Linked DNA regions of Macaca fascicularis. The protein of the gene in region 1 binds, or shares a complex with, the protein of each later gene. Links are inferred from orthologs where the notes say so. Each region holds a gene or a part of one and is shown on either strand. Other genes may lie near its edges. The genes, in order: TAF11 and transcription initiation factor TFIID subunit 13.

What was found.
Region 2: TAF11 (region 1) and transcription initiation factor TFIID subunit 13 share a complex: the UniProt entries of both Homo sapiens proteins name them as parts of the TFIID basal transcription factor complex. The link is inferred for Macaca fascicularis from reciprocal best matches to the Homo sapiens genes TAF11 and TAF13.

What each region holds. Positions count from the first base shown.
Region 1 is NC_088378.1:136,811,500-136,819,321, reverse strand, and holds the end of TAF11 (transcription initiation factor TFIID subunit 11), read right to left. Parts: intron 7,660-7,822; coding exon 7,511-7,659; intron 4,629-7,510; coding exon 4,541-4,628; intron 4,314-4,540; coding exon 4,217-4,313; intron 2,968-4,216; coding exon 2,837-2,967; 3' UTR 2,041-2,836; downstream 1-2,040. UniProt on the Homo sapiens protein: The TFIID basal transcription factor complex plays a major role in the initiation of RNA polymerase II (Pol II)-dependent transcription.
Region 2 is NC_088375.1:125,371,018-125,379,358, reverse strand, and holds the start of transcription initiation factor TFIID subunit 13, read right to left. Parts: upstream 5,581-8,341; 5' UTR 5,519-5,580; coding exon 5,492-5,518; exon of another isoform or gene 5,318-5,491; coding exon of another isoform or gene 5,317-5,317; intron 4,730-5,316; exon of another isoform or gene 4,632-4,729; coding exon 4,553-4,631; intron 1-4,552. UniProt on the Homo sapiens protein: The TFIID basal transcription factor complex plays a major role in the initiation of RNA polymerase II (Pol II)-dependent transcription.

The DNA.
Region 1 (7,822 bases):
TTATCCCATGGGATTTTAGTAAAAATCAGCTTGCCTAATTTCATGTTCCTGTTCATAATGAAGAAATGTGAAGTGGTGGTAGTCCTCAGGATAAGTATAAAGGAAAATATGCAAGGAAAAAGCAGTGTCAGCCCTTTTGGACTGCTTATGATTTCTGCCTTAGAGCTACAAGACTTGGAACAAGAAATAACAATACCTCAAGAAAATGTTTGGAGAGAGAGCACCACTGTCCCTCAAAGACTTCAGCCACTGCACATTACCAGTTCAGCTGTGAAGCATTTACAACTATGTATTATCTGTGATGTCTACATTTCCTGTTTACATGCATGTGCTGGGGATATGCTTTAGTGTGTATGGACTAGAGTTTAAATCTTTTCTTTAACTGGGCTGCAAGGAAGGCTATCAAATTGTGTTTTCAACTCACTGGAATAATTAACCTGGTTTTCCTGATATAAAACAGGTGGGTTCTATTCACATGATGGCTGCTCTTTACCATATATTTCATCTGAACCTCATTTTGCCATGGGCCTCAACCTTTATGTCTGCTTTTTATGGTTCTGAAAGGAATGGCTCCCGTGTATGGAATATCCAAGGGATAACCACCACCCCTCACATACCCCTGTAACTTAAATGCTTCCATGTGACTCAGATTACTTTCCCCTCAGTGGTAAACAGGGGTTGGGGGATGGGTGGTAGTGGAAAGAAGGTAGTTTGAAATATTGCCATAGTAATATGGGAACTTTTCATTCCAAACCTTTACCCTCGCTTTTTTTTTTCTCTCTTATTTAATATTTGCCTAAACTTCTGAAATCAGTTATAGTAAGATCATAAAACTATGAAAACAACTGAACTTTTGGTACACAAGTTAGTTCGATGACATCTTGTGATCTGAGAACAGTAAAAGGTGTGTCATTGCCTCATGATTTGTCATAGTCATTACTAAGGGTTTCGGAGAGAATCTGGTGTGAAGCACTATCCTTTCAGAGACTAAGGCTTTTACCTAGTTGCTCCCCTACCTTCTGTCAGAATAGGAGTATTCCCGTGCCCCTCTGGGTAGGTATAGGTAGTGGCTATTGAATGGGGATTATCTTCCCCATGGCACAAGGGGAAACACTCCTGGATAACCTTTAACAGTGAGGCTTTGCTAAGTGGCCAGACTTGGGATTTGATCTTCCTCACTTGTATTTATTAAGTTTCAGCCTTATTCAGTATCTCTAACTGCCATAGATACAGTTCCTACGACTTCTAAAAAAATTCCTGTTAGAGCTGAGAGAGTATCTTTTTTGTTTATTAATTTTTGTTCAAGATGTAGCCTGAGTCTTAAAGCATTTCTTTGTGGAATGCCCCACTGAAGTGTCTTCTCCATTGGCTAAGTACATGTTTAAAGCCATGGGTTTTAATGTAAGACACTTTTAGTATCTAATTCTGCTTCCCCCACTGAGGGTGCTAAACAGAATTAGAATCTTTACTAAGACATGCTCAGGAAAGCTTCACAAGAGAACAGCTTCAAAATCCTTCTCCCTATGACACTGAATGGTAGAGAGGAAAGAATTCTTGGGGATTGCCAATTACATATCGTAGCCTTATTACTGCTAATCACTGTCAGAAAAGGTCACTTCATTCACCTCTATTTGAGGAAAACAATGAGAATGTATCTGATGAACTAGAATCCTGGTCAGTATTGGGAAATATTAATGTTGCAATATCTAGTCAAACCTTGAGTGTACTGGTTCTGTGAACCACCTGAAAAAACAAATTAAATGTATTAAACCATAATGGTTGTCGTGTATCTGTTGATAAGAATCTGAAATATATGGGCTTTTATATTGTTTATTTTCGTTTCACTCTTGGGGGAGAAGATTATTACACTGTTTTTAACAGTGCTTGAAGTACTCTTTTATGAGATAAAATTTTAATGGTTCTACTAGAAAAAGGGCTCAAATTTCCACAAAATAGCCAAAACCAGTTGTATTGGAACACCAAAAAAGAATGATCAACTTCCCATTCCAACCAGCTAGACAGAAAATGAATACACCTAGGGCAAGTTGGAAAACAGTTTAATGATCACTCACCAGAATCCACAGGAGAATCTTAAATATTTACAAGCACCAATTATTCCATTATTCCTGCCATCGCCGCATCCTTCATGGCAGAGTATCACAAGTAAGTTTCTGGTTGTTTCATCTACTTAAAATCAGATGTAAGAAACAACCTGAGTCTTAGCAACTTCAGACTTCAATGTGAAACCATTAAAGCCCTCGACACTTTAGGAGGCTGAGGCAGGAGGATTGCTTGAAGCCAGGAGTTCACGACCAGCCTGGGCAACAAAGCAAGACCCCATCTCCATAAAAAAATAAAAATAAGTTAGCTGGGCACAGTAGTGCGTGCCTGCAGTCTTAGCTACTCAGGAGACTGAGACGGGAGGGTCACTTAAGTCCAGGAATTCAAGGCTGTAGTCATGCCGCTGAACTCCAGCCTAGGTGACAGAGCAAGACCCTATCTCAAACAAAACAAAACTCTCTTGGAAAGGTTTTCTCTCTGAAAGCAGTTCTCCTGTCCAGAAGATGCCTACGGCCCATACATCTTCTTCCAACTGGCCAAGACAGTTAAATACTTCAAAATGCCCCCAAGAGGTCCCAAAATTTAGTCAAGGCAAGTATCAATCAGGCTACATACTTTCTAGGTGTGACAAATATCAGAGTTTTGAGAAAGATGTTAAAATCATCATGAAATCCTTGGAGGCCTGAGATACTAAAGCACCAGTGCAGACAGTCTTCTAGGAAGTCTGGAACCAATACTTCTTCCATCAGTAATACAGGCCTTTCTAGACTTTGGTCTAGAAGAAGATGATTTTTTTGTGCTTCGAGTTAGGGATCTGTCCCTTTGACTTTAACCTTCTAACGGCTTCCCTCATATGTTTGGGTTGTAGTGGTGGCATTTCTCCCCACTTCTCACATACATCCAGTGCTAAACAGAGGGTAAGGAGAAAGTCTGATTATCATACAATAATTTACTAATCACATAATCCTTTTGAGTCCTGTAATTCTCGTTAACTTTTCTTAAGCTTGCTAAGGAAATAAACCAAAACATTTTTCCTTTTTAAGAGAAGATTTTTTTTTAGTATAACATCTCATAACAGGCTTTATCATAGACAACAGTTTAAAATATATTTCCTATAGGCCATATGCTGTGGCTCATGTCTGTAATCCCAGCAGTTAGGGAGGCCAAGGTAGGAGGATTGCTTGAGCCCAGGAGTTTGAGACCAACCTGGGCAACATGGCAAAACCTTGTCTCTACAAAAAAATTTAAAAATTAGCCAGGGGTGGTGGTGCACACCTGTGGTCTCAACTACTCAGGCTGAGGCAGGAGAATCACCCGAGCCCAGGAGCTCACTGTTGCAGTAAGCTGTGATCGCATGATCAAGGCACTCTAGCCTGGGTGACAGAGTGAGACCCTGTCTCAAATAACTATATAAAAATAAAAATTAGCCAGGTGTGGTAGTGCATGCCTATGGTCCCAGCTACTTGGGAGGCTGAGGCAGGAGGATCCTTTGAGCCTAGGAGTTTGAGGTGGTAGTGAGCTATGGTCACACCACTGTTACCATCTCATTTTGTACACCATCTAAATTTGTGATTTGTAAAAGGAAACATAAAAAATATTAAAAGAAAAAATAAAGATCACGCCACTGCACTCCAGCCTGGGCGACAGAGCGAGACCCTGTCTCAAAAAATAATAATAATTTAAAAGTATCTATCTCCTGCTTAAAAAAATAAATTAAAAAAAAAAAAAGATTTCACCAGTCAGAGTAGCAATGGGAAACAGCCAGGCTTTTTACTCAATAAAGGGGGCAGGCAGTTCCCAGGGAGCACAACATTAGGGACAACTCACCATCCCACACAGGTCAGCCCTGTGATTGCTTTTCTTGTATCTTTACTTTTGGCAGCAGAAATGAGCAAAGTCCACTGCAGAAAATACAAAGTCTACTTCTGTCACCCTGGGCTGAGGAAAGGAATCAGGGAGGGGAGTCCCAGATGGTTCCTTGCCATCTGTTATTGAAACTTGCAAGGAATAATGGTCATTTCTCCTGAATACAGGGTTCCCCACTTGCTCAACTTCAAATGCAAATGAGAACTCCCACAGGTGCTTTAATAAGCTCCTTTGTATAGATATTCTTAAAAATAAGACCACCGCAGTATTTGTAACCAACACTACTCACCTTCTTCTACCACCTCCCCGACGAAAACCTTGGAAATACCAGACATAGCAATAACAACATTCTGAGACACAGAGGTGCCAGTGATGGACTGGATCAGCTTGAAAGAAGGAGAAAGACTCCGTGACTACAATAGTCAAAGACTGGCTTTGGAACACAGTACCAAATAATTCACAGAAAAAGGTAAGATAACTGAGGTGCATTTTTTTTTCCCCACTTAAATAATCCACTGACTTGTCTAACACCTCACTTCAAATGCCAATGGACATGGCCCTTGGGTTCAGTTCTAAAACATGATGGAGATGAAGTGTGGTGGTCTATCCTTACCCTTTTGATGGCTGCCTTAGGGAAAGCTGAGCGGCGATACATTTCGTAACGGTTCAGCTGCTCCTCAGAAAAAGAAGAAACCAGGATTCTAAACAAAGATCCAGGTAACTAAGTTAACTTGTAAGAATGAATACTAAAGATATTATTAAGTCAATAAAAGTCTCAGACAATTCAAAAATGAATTCTTAAGGGGTCAATAGCATTAGGCTTGGTGCCTTGAGGAATGAAGATAAAATACTTCTACTCCAAAGGAATTTGAGAAAACATAAAATAAAAACTTCTTTTCTTACCTGTGAACAAAAAGAACAACATTGGGTCACTGTATCCTACTATACAGACTGTGTTTTCAGCGTTAGACTCTACCTTACTGAATTTCACACTGATGGTGTTTAATATACAAATTTATGATCAAACCAGTAGTTTTCAACATTAACAGATTTAGGAGAAATATCTGCAAAATATGTGGAAACAGGTAATACTCCTAATGTATAATTCTTTCAAACAAATAAAGGGGCCATATCAATTTTTGAAAATGAACAAAGTATATGAACAGGAAATTTACAAAAATACCAATGGTCAACCAACATGGGGGAACAACATTATTAACTAAGGAAATATTATTTTCATAGATAACATTTTTCATAAATCAGACCACTATTAAAAAAAGAATGGTATTAGAATATGGGACACAAACTCACACATGCTGGCAGAGTGAACTGCAACACCTTTTTGGAGAGAAATTTGGAAATACATATGAAAAGCCTTTGAAAATGTTCATACTATTTGAATTAGCAATTATACCTCTAGGAGTTTATCTTAGGAAGTAATGGACAAGTATGCAAAGATATGTCCAAAGATCCTCATCATAATGTCAAAAGTACAAATACCCAACCAGAACCACTACAGGGACTGGTTAAATTATAGTTCAACAACATAATGGGATTCGATTGTAGCCATTAAAAATTATGATTTATGAGCAAATTTACTGACATGAAAATATTTAGCTATACATATCAAACATCTAAAAAAACTTTGAAAAGGTACATACCCAAACACTATACCCAACTATATACTTAGAGTGAACTCTGCCTGGTGAGTTTATGGGTAATTTTTTCTATTTTTCTGTATTCTCTGAATTATTTGCAATGAGCCCATACTACTTTTTACAATCAGAAAATGTCATAAAGCTATTTCTATTTTTAAGAAAACTATGACCTAGGCAGGGTGCGGTGGCTCAAGCCTGTAATCCCAGCACTTTGGGAGGCCGAGGTGGGTGGATCACGAGGTCAGGAGATCGAGACCATCCTGGCTAACACAGTGAAACCCCATCTCTACTAAAAATACAAAAAAAAAAAAAAAAATTAGCCAGGCGTGATGGCGGGCGCCTGTAGTCCCAGCTACTCGGGAGGCTGAGGCAGGAGAATGGCGTGAACCCGGGAGGCGGAGCTTGCAGTGAGCCGAGATCATGCCACTGCACTCCAGCCTGGGCGACACAGCGAGACTCTGCCTCAAAAAAAAAAAAAAAAAAAAAAAAGAAAACTATGACCTAGATGTATAATTAGTGACATGGAAAACATTCATCATATCTAATGTGAAAAATAGGCTATGAAACAGTATTTGACATTTGTGAAAAAAACAATTCATAGATATATATGTATAGAAACTATCTTGAAACTTTTAACATAAGCAGGATATATCTCTGTGGTAAGGTGATTCTTTTTTCTTCTTATCTATTTATTTTTATTTATTTATTTTTGAGACAGTGTCTGGCTCTATTGCCCAGGCTGGAATGCAGTAGTGCAATCTTGGCTCATTGCAACCTCTGCCTCCTGGGTTCAAGTGATTCTCCTACCTCAGCCTCCCGAGTAGCTGGGACTACAGGCACCCACCACAACGCCTGGCTAATTTTTTGTAATTTTAGTAGAGATGGAGTTTCACCATCTTGGCCAGGCTGGTCTCAAACTCCTGACCTCAGGTGATCCGCCCACGCCTCAGCCTCCCAAAGTGCTGGGATTACAGGTGTGAGCCACCGCTCCCGGACATCTTTTTATCTATTTATATTTTCTATGCTGTAACATAATTGTTTGAAAAAAAATTTTTTGGCCTGTAATCCCAGCACTTTGGGAGGCCAAGGCGGGCGGATCACGAGGTCTCGAGTTCGAGACCAGCCTGGCCAACATGGTGAAACCCTGTCTCCACTAAAAATACAAAAATTAGCCAGGCATGGTGGCGGGCACCTGTAGTCCCAGCTACCTGGGAGGCTGAGGCAGGAGAATCACTTGAAACCGGAAGGTGGAGGTTGCAGTGAGCAGAGATCCTGCCACTACACTCCAGCCTGAGCAATGAGAGTGAAACTCCATCTCAAAAAAAAAAAAAAAAATTTTAAATAGAGGCCAGGCGCAGTGGCTCATGCCTGTCATCCCAGCACTTTGGGAGGCTGAGGCGGGCAGATCACTTGAGGTCATGAGTTCAAGACCAGCCTGGCCAATATAGTGAAACCCTGTCTCTACTAAAAATACAAAAATTAGCCAGGCATGGTGGTACATGCCTGTAGTCCCAGCTACTCGGGAGGCTGAGGCATGAGAATTGTTTGAACTCAGGAGGCAGAGGCTGCAGTGAGCTGAGATCATACCATTGCACTCCATCCTGGGCAACACATTAAGACTCTGTCCCAAAAAAAAAAAAACAAAAAAAAAAAACAACCGTAACGTACTGTAACATAACATTAGAGATAGGGTTTCACTATGTTGCCCAGGCTGGTCTCAAACTTGGACCTCAAGAAATCCTCCCACCTTGGCCTTCTGAAGTGTTGGGATTATAAGCGTGAGCCACCATGCCCAGCCATAATGTATTAATCGTTTTATTTTCTTTTGAGTTTATAAAAGAAAATTTAAATACCAAGAAAAATTTATTAAATTTGTGTGGTCAAGTGAGAGCTTTGAAATGGGGAATGATAAGAAAGTGACTTACTGCATCTTCTGAATCTCATCTTCATCTACTTTCTGCTTCTTCTCTTTCTTTTCTTTGGTATCTATTTTCAGTTTTTTGGCCGCAGGAGTAAGTAATGATGAGTCTTCCCTTTCAACTGTTGTTAAATCTGAGACATCCTGACTCTTGGGCTGGGAAGATGAAAGAAACTCTATTACATATTTGTCCTACTTTCGAGGCTTGGGCAAAGTAAGAAGGCATTATCCTTATTACAAAACAACAAATCCATTTATTGAGTAGTTTTTCAGTTTTAGGCACTGACTGTACCATCAAGGATAAGATACAGTATCTCTC
Region 2 (8,341 bases), on another chromosome or scaffold:
AATTATAACTCTCATCAGATTCTCAAAGGGGTATATGTAAATGGTAAGAAACTCTGTCAAATGCTGCAAGTCTTTTATTATCTTGATCTTAGTAGTGCGTACAAGTGTGTGAGTGTGTGTGTGTGTGCACGTGTATACAGTTACCCCTTAGTATCCTTGGGAGCTTGGTTCCAGGACCTCCCGTGGATACTAAAATCTTCAGATGCTCAAATCCCAGATATAAAATGGCATAGTGTTTGCATACAACCTAAACATCTATATTTTATTTTAAATCATCTCCTATCTATATTTTAAATCATCTCCAGGTTACTTACAATACCTAATACAATGCAAATGCTATGTAAATAGTTGCTATATTATATTGTTTAGAGAATAATGACCAGGAAAAAAAGTCTGCACATATTCAATACAGACGCAGTTTTTTTTTTCTGAATATTTTCCATCTGAGGTTGGTTGAATCCATGGATGCAGAACCCATGGATATAGAGGGCCGACTGTATAGTATACATAAAATTCAGCAAGCTGTTAACTTAAGACTTGCACAACTTATTGTATCTAAGTTCTTTTTTTAAAAAAAAACATACTGCCAGGCGCAGTAGCTCACGCCTGTAATCCCAGCACTTTGGGAGGCGGAGGCGGGCGGATCACGAGGTCAGGAGATGGAGACCATCCTGGCTAACACGGTGAAACCCTGTCTCTACTAAAAATACAAAACATTAGCTGGGCATGGTGGCAGGCGCCTGTAGTCCCAGCTACTCGGGAGGCTGAGGCAGGAGAATGGCGTGAACCTGGGAGGTGGAGCTTGTAGTGAGCCCAGATCGCGCCACTGCACTCCAGCCTGGGCGACAGAGCGAGACTCCGTCTCAAAAAAAAAAAAAAAAAAAGGTACTTGTAGAATACTTCTAAAGGAAGAAATGAGTAAATTAAGAATAATTCCTCTATTTAGAAGAAGTAAAAACTAGTAGAAGTACAAAGAGAAGAAAGTAGGCCAGGCCTACAGAAGAAAAGGGTGACTTGGAAACCAGCCTGAGATAGACATGTCCCTAGGGTTTACACTGGCAAGAGTCTTTAGGTCCAGAAACAGGAGGAAAAAAACAAACACAGGAGCCAATAGTTTTTATCTTTCTGTTTTGGATTCCGTACTTTTTTGCCTTTTTTTTTTAAAAAAAGATAATTTTAGATTTACAGCTGAGTTGCAAAAATAGTACACAGTTCCCATATGCCCTATATTCAGCTTCCCCTTATGTTAACATGTTATACAACCATAGGGAGTCATCAAAGCTAAGAAATTAACATCGGTACAAGTACAGACTTTATTCAGATTTTACGAGTTTTTCCACCAATGTCCTTTTTGTTTCAGGTTCCCATACCATTTAGTTGTCATGTCTCCTTAGTTCCCTCTATTCTCTGACAGTTCGACTTTTTCATCTTTCAAAACCTTGATACCTTTTTTTTAAATGAAACCATTGTTTACAAAAAACCTTGACACTTTTGAAGAATATTGGTCAGTTATCTTGTAGACTATCCCTCAATTTGGGTTTCTTTGATGTTTCCTCGTTAGATTGAAGTTTGACATTACCAGGAAGAACACCAAGGTGATGTGTCCTCTTAATGCATCATATCAGGGGTATATAATGTCAATATACTGTATATTATTAGTGATGCTTTGATCACTTGATTAACATGGTGTCTTCCAGAATTCTCCATTGTAAGTTTACTGTTTTTGTTTAAATATTTCGAGGAAGATACTTTGTCACTAACATTTTGATGGGCAGAATTCACCAGACAGAAAATATATTTCACTGGAAAAGGGAAACTTATTATATGGGAAGTATGTAAACTGTATTTGGCTAAAGGGTCTATAAAGGCATAAACAAATGCCAGATAATGCTTTGAAATTCTATAGGCCTATTGCAACCTCTGCCTCCCAGGTTCCAGTGACTCTCCAGCCTCAGCCTCACAAGTAGCTGGAATTTTTTTTTTTTTGAGAGGCAGTCTTGCTCTGTCACCCAGGCTGGAGCGCAGCGCGCCATCTTGGCTCACTGCAACCTCTGTCTCCTGGATGCAAGCAATTCTCCTGCCTCAGCCTCCCAAGTAGGTGGGGCTACAGGCATGTGCCACCACATCCAGCTAATTTTTTGTATTTTTAGCAGGGACGGGGTTTTGCTGTGTTAGCCAGGATGGTCTCGATCTCCTGACCTCATGATCCACCCACCTCAGCCTCCCAAAGTGCTGGGATTACAGGCATGAGCTACCGTGTCCGGCCCTCGAGTAGTGGAGTTACAGGCACGCATCACCACACCCAGCTAAATTTGTATTTTTATTAGAGACGGGGTTTTGCCATGTTGGCCAGACTGGTCTTGAACTCCCGACCTCAAGTGATCCTCCCACCTTGGCCTCCCAAAGTGCTGGGATTACTGGCATGAGCCACTGTACCTAGTCTCCTGCAAATTTTTTTTTTTTTAAGGTTCACGAAACAGATCTTTCGTCAGTAACCTCTATGAATATTCAGTTAAGATAAGGAGAAGCCTGAAGATTCCAAATTCCTGTCATCACAAACTAATCTCACTGGAAAAAAGGTCTTTGCTAACAACCAACTGAACATCACTCTGGGATGCTCTGGTACAAGGATCCCATTCTTATGCTGATATAATAAGTAAAACCACATAATGGTATAAGGAGCATCAGAGAAATGAAATAAGAAATGTTCAGCTTTAGTGAGGAAACGAAATATGGAAAAGGATTTGGATGGTTAAAAAATAAGAGTGTCTGGCTGGATGTGGTGGCTCATGCCTGTAACCCCAGCAGTTTGGGAGGCTGAGGCAGGAGGATCACTTGAGGGTAGGAGTTTGAGACCAGCCTGGCCAACATGGTGTAACTAGTCTCTACTGAAAATACAAAAATTAGCTGGGTATGGCTGGTCATGGTGGCTCAGGCCTGTAATCCCAGCACTTTGGGAGGCCGAGTTAGGCAGATCATCTGGGTCATGAGTTTGAGACCACCCTGGCTGACATGGGGAAACCCGTTTCTACTAAAAATACAAAAAATTAGCTGGGGCTGGTGGCGAGACAGGGTCTCACTCTTCTATCACTGGGGCTAGAGTACAGTGGCATGATCACAGCTCACTGCAACCTTGAACTCCTGGGCACAAGTGATCCTCCCACCTCAGCCTCCTGAATAGCTGGGGCTATAGGTACACGCCACCATGCCCAGTTAATTGCAAAAAAAAAAAAAAGATATACTGACCCTGTAGTTTCAAGGGCATTTGGGAACTGCTCACATATAACCCCGCCTAAATAAACCATATTCATAAATCTGTGTTGCCTCATCTCTCAATACTTAGATATAACTTTACATAAAGGACCCAGGACTGGAGATGGAGAGCACATTCTCATGCTGTGTTCCAGGGCTTGGCCTGTACCATCAGTAGTAGCAGCAGCTCTCCCTTCCTCTTGTTGCCAAAAAGGGTCAAAAGCATCTACTGAGGGGGTAGGATGCAGAATCAATACATTATAATCTCCATGTCATTATTTATTTTGCTTATTTATTTATTTATTTTGGACACAGGGTCTGGTTCCGTCACCAAGGCTGGAGTGCAGTGGCGCAATCTGGGTTTACTGCAACCTCCACCTCCTGGGCCCAAGCCATCCTCTCACCTCAGCCTCCAGAGTAGCTGGAACTACAGGGGCGTGCCACCATGCCCTACTAATTTTTGTATTTTTTGTAGAGAGAGGGTTTCACTATGTCGCCCAGACTGGTCTTGACCTCCTGGGCTCAAGCGATCTGCTTGCCTTGACCTCCCAAAGTGCTGGGATTACAGACGTGAGCCACTGCATCTAGCCTCCATGTCACTCTAATGTCTTACACTATTCACCACCTTCTTCTTTTTTTTTGAGACAGAGTCTTGCTGTGTTACCCAGGCTGGAGTGCAGTGGCATAATCTTGGCTCACTGCAACTTCTCCCTCCTGAGTTCAAGCGAGCACGTCTGGCTAATTTTTGTATTTTTAGTAGAGATGGGGTTTCATCACATTGGCCAGGCTGGTCTCAAACTCCTGACCTCCAGTGATCCACCTGCCTCAGCCTCCCAAAGTGCTCGGATTACAGGCGTGAGCCACTACACCCAGCTGTTCACCACCTTCTTACTTTGTTCATAGCCTTAGTCCAAAGCCCAAGCCCCAACTCACTTGCTACTCTCCCTCAACACCTGGTGCAGGATCCATTAGTATCTGTGGCTTACAGTCAAAGAAGCCTCTCTTTCTACTGCTGCAAAGGCAAGAGGAAAACTAATGGAGGTATGTTCTTCTGCCCTAAATTAAAACACGAACTACATTTGCTCACCTAAAAAGCAATTTATACACAGACACACATACACACACATATAACTGGGGTTAGGATTGGTACTATCTGATTCAAAAGCTAAACAGAATTTGATAGGCTAGTCTGAGAATATTGTCACTACAGGGAAACATTCAAAGCAATAAATGTACTTGGAAAGGATATGTCCAAAAGTTTTCATCATCTATAACAAAATCATTGTCAAATACTACTTACATTCTTTAGAAAAAAGCCTCTTTCTTTTACCCTGTCCACCTTCTGCACCTCCTCCAATTTCTTCATTTTCTTCCTCAAACTAGAAAACGTATATATAGAAATGTCAAATAATTGCCTTGCATTTGATATTTTAATAATAACAATGTTTTTTCCTTTTCAACAGATAGGCCAGAAAGCCTAAAGGAAGCAGAAAAAAAAAAAAAAAAAAAAAAAAAAAACACAAAACCTTAGCACGTAAGCAGCCTAGGTATCGAGTCCAATTTCCAACTCATCCAAAAATGGCTTCTACAATGTTCCTAACAAATAATCCTACTGCTTCTACGTGTAAGAGTTACAATGACCATAGGTTTTATTTTTAAACAACTAAGGTGGCCTATTGCTACTGTTAAACAGTTGATACTGAATCAAAGTCTACCTTTGTAGACTTTCAATTAAGCAAAACTAATATTTACTAAGCATTTGCATATACGGTGCTAAAAACGTTCCTTAAGTAAGCCCGTAACCCTATTTTGTAACAAGAAAACTGATTGTCAAAGTTAAATAACTTGCTTAGAGAGAATGGAGATTTTGAAATCCAGGCTGTCTGACTTTCAATGCATTCTTTTCCCATTACTTCACAGTAAGTACAGTTTTGTTAACAATTGAACTGTTGGTTCATAGTGAGCGCTAATAGATGTTAGTTTTGACGTCTGATGATTCTGTAAGTGTTTCAGTGTCTGGCAAATAAAGATCAAAATCAAGGGGAAAGGGGTCACAAAACCTACTCTTTCTTCATGTCCTTCCCCACTTTCTAAAATGATCAATCCTTAGGGAGTGAAGTCCCCGAATTCTGTCGGCTGAATTGACTAAGGCAAGCAGATCCGATCCTGAACTCTGCCTCCGCTACTGAGCCCGAAGGAGTGAAGAAAAGAGAGGTTCTGGACACAGACGGTCACTCACGGTGGGGTCTTCTTCCTCATCTGCCATCCCACTAGCCCGCCAACCCACAGCGCCCCGCCGGCTGGTTCTCAGCGGGTTACGCTACTTCCGTCGCCTCACTTCCGGTGACGGGCGGGGCTGGAGCTGGGCCTAGCTGACTGAGGCCTGCGGAAGGACGGTGGTGCTTTCCGGCCTAGCGGCGGAAATGCGACAGTCTTTAGCGGAGGAGGCCGGAGCTCCTCCCTGTAACACTGAAGGAATTGAAAACTAACAAAGAAAAGGAAATCACGGGCTCCGTGGGATGTATCTCGTTGTCACCCTAAATTTGCTACTGCGCATTGAATCACGCCTTCCTGTTTGGGGACTGCGAAGCTATGGATCGTAGGAGGGCTAGCCAGCGGTCCTTTATCTGACATAAATGCTTTTAAATCATTTTAAAGAGTTGTGGTTCCACTGTTTCTAAGCACTATGTTAATTACTGGGGATACTGTGCTTCACCACAAATTTCCAAGAGATGGTGTCCCAAAACTAAGCATTTAAAATTTTGTGAAGGTTTGTTTTTGTGTGTGTGTGTTTTTTTTTTTTTTTTTTTTTTTTGAGACCAAGTCTCACTCTGTCGCCCAGGCTGGAGTGTGCGGTGGCGAAATCCCGGCCCACTGCAACGTCCGCCTATCGGGTTCAAGCGATTCTTCTGCCTCAGCCTCCCGAGTAGCTGGGATTACAGGCGTGCACCACCATGCCCGGCCTCATTTTTGGTTTTTTTTTTTTTTTTTTGAGACGCAGCCTCACTGTCCCCCAGGCTGGAGTGAAGTGGCACAATCCGGGTTCACTGCAGCTTAGACCTGCTGGGCTCAAGCCATCCTCCCACCTCAGCCTCCAAGTAGCTGGGATTACAGGCACACACCACCTATGCTCGGCTAATTTTTGTATTTTTAGTAGATATGGGGTTTCGCCACATCACCCAGGCTGGTCTGGAACTCTTGATCTCAAGCGATCTGCCCCCCTCGGCCTCCCAAAGTGCTGGGATTACAAGTGTGAGCCACCGTGTCCATTGGGGAAGGCTTTTGGTCGGAACAATGGTTGGGAAAACCACAGGCATTGGAAGGCCAGAGCTAGGGATATAAAATATGTGTCCTACAGTGTAACAGATGATGCTACATAAAGAAAATCCCGCAATACACACGATTTCTGAATGTCCTGCTGAACATTCGGTGAGTGAAAAGTAGTTATGTGAGGCTTGAACCTATCTTTGTTAATAAACACAAAGCGGCTGGGCGCGGTGGCTCAAGCCTGTAATCCCAGCACTTTGGGAGGCCGAGACGGGTGGATCACGAGGTCAGGAGATCGAGACCATCCTGGATAACACGGTGAAACCCCGTCTCTACTAAGAAATACAAAAAACTAGCCGGGCGAGGTGGCGGGCGCCTGTAGTCCCAGCTACTCGGGAGGCTGAGGCAGGAGAATGGCGTGAACCCGGGAGGCGGAGCTTGCAGTGAGCTGAGATCCGGCCACTGCACTCCAGACTGGGCTACAGAGCGAGACTCCGTCTCAAAAAAAAAAAAAAAAAAAAAAAAAAAAAAAAAAACACACACACACACACAAAGCATTTTCCCACACTTTTAATGTACGTTGAATTTTCTAGGAATGTTATTGCCCCAAAATTGAATAGTAATTGTATTGTTTTGTTTGGAATTCATTAAGAGTTGTGTACCATTTCAAGAAATAACGTCACCAAAAGCAACATCACTTGTAATAATTTGAATAGTGAATACTGAAAAAAGAACTTTGATTTGAGGAAAGTGAGTTAAATTATTAGGCCCTGAGAGGCATTAAAATGAGAGGCAATCACATCCTACTTGCCCCCTTTTGAGCTATGTATTTATGTCTTAAAACTGCTTGCCATTCCACAAGTATTAGTTATAAATTAGCCTAATTATGCCCCACCAGACACTATATCCCACACCCTATAGCTTGATAATGTTATTTTTGTAAACCAATGAGAATTCCTTAAGGACAACTTTGTGTCAGCCCACTCCCCGTCCTCATTCTTTTCCGTTAAAAATCCACTTGTACCTGCTGCTAATCTTAGAGTGTATTCCGGGCCACTTTATGCTGCTGAGTTGCAATCCTCAAGTCTGGCCCAAATAAACTCTCTATTTATATTAATTTTGCCTCAGCTTCTTCCTTTTAGGTCGACAATACTCACTCAAATCAGTCTGCATTCAAAGTAATTCTACATATAGGTACAAGCATCTGAAATCTTCATTATACCCCCTAGTGCTCGAGTGTTTATATATTGAAACATATGTTGGCTGGGCGCGCTGGCTCACACATGTAATCCCGGCACTTTGGGAGGCCGAGGCGGGCGGATCACCTGATACAGTTTGAGACCAACCTGGCCAACAGAGTGAAACCCTGTCTCTACTAAAAAATACAACAAAAATTAGCTGGGCGTGGTGGTGGGCGCCTGTAGTCCCAGCTACTGGAGAAGCTGAGGCAGGAGAATGGTGTGAACCCAGGAGGCGAAGCTTGTAGTGAGCAGAGGTCCTGCCACTGCACTCCAGCCTGGGCGACAGTATGAGACTCCATCTCAAAAAAAAAAAAAAAAGAAAAAGAAACATATGTTACTATTTTTACTTTACTTTATATTACCTTTATGCCTGACCTCCTGGACACTGGATCACTGGATCCTGTTACGGTATTATGTTATTTTCAAAATTATGTGAGTAGGTAGATATATTAGTTATTTATTGTTGTATAACAAATCACCCCAAAACTTAGTGACTTACAACAAATATTTATCACACAGTTTCTGTGGGTCAGCAATGTGGGTGCGATTTAGCTGGGTGCCTGTTGCTCAAGGTCCCTCCT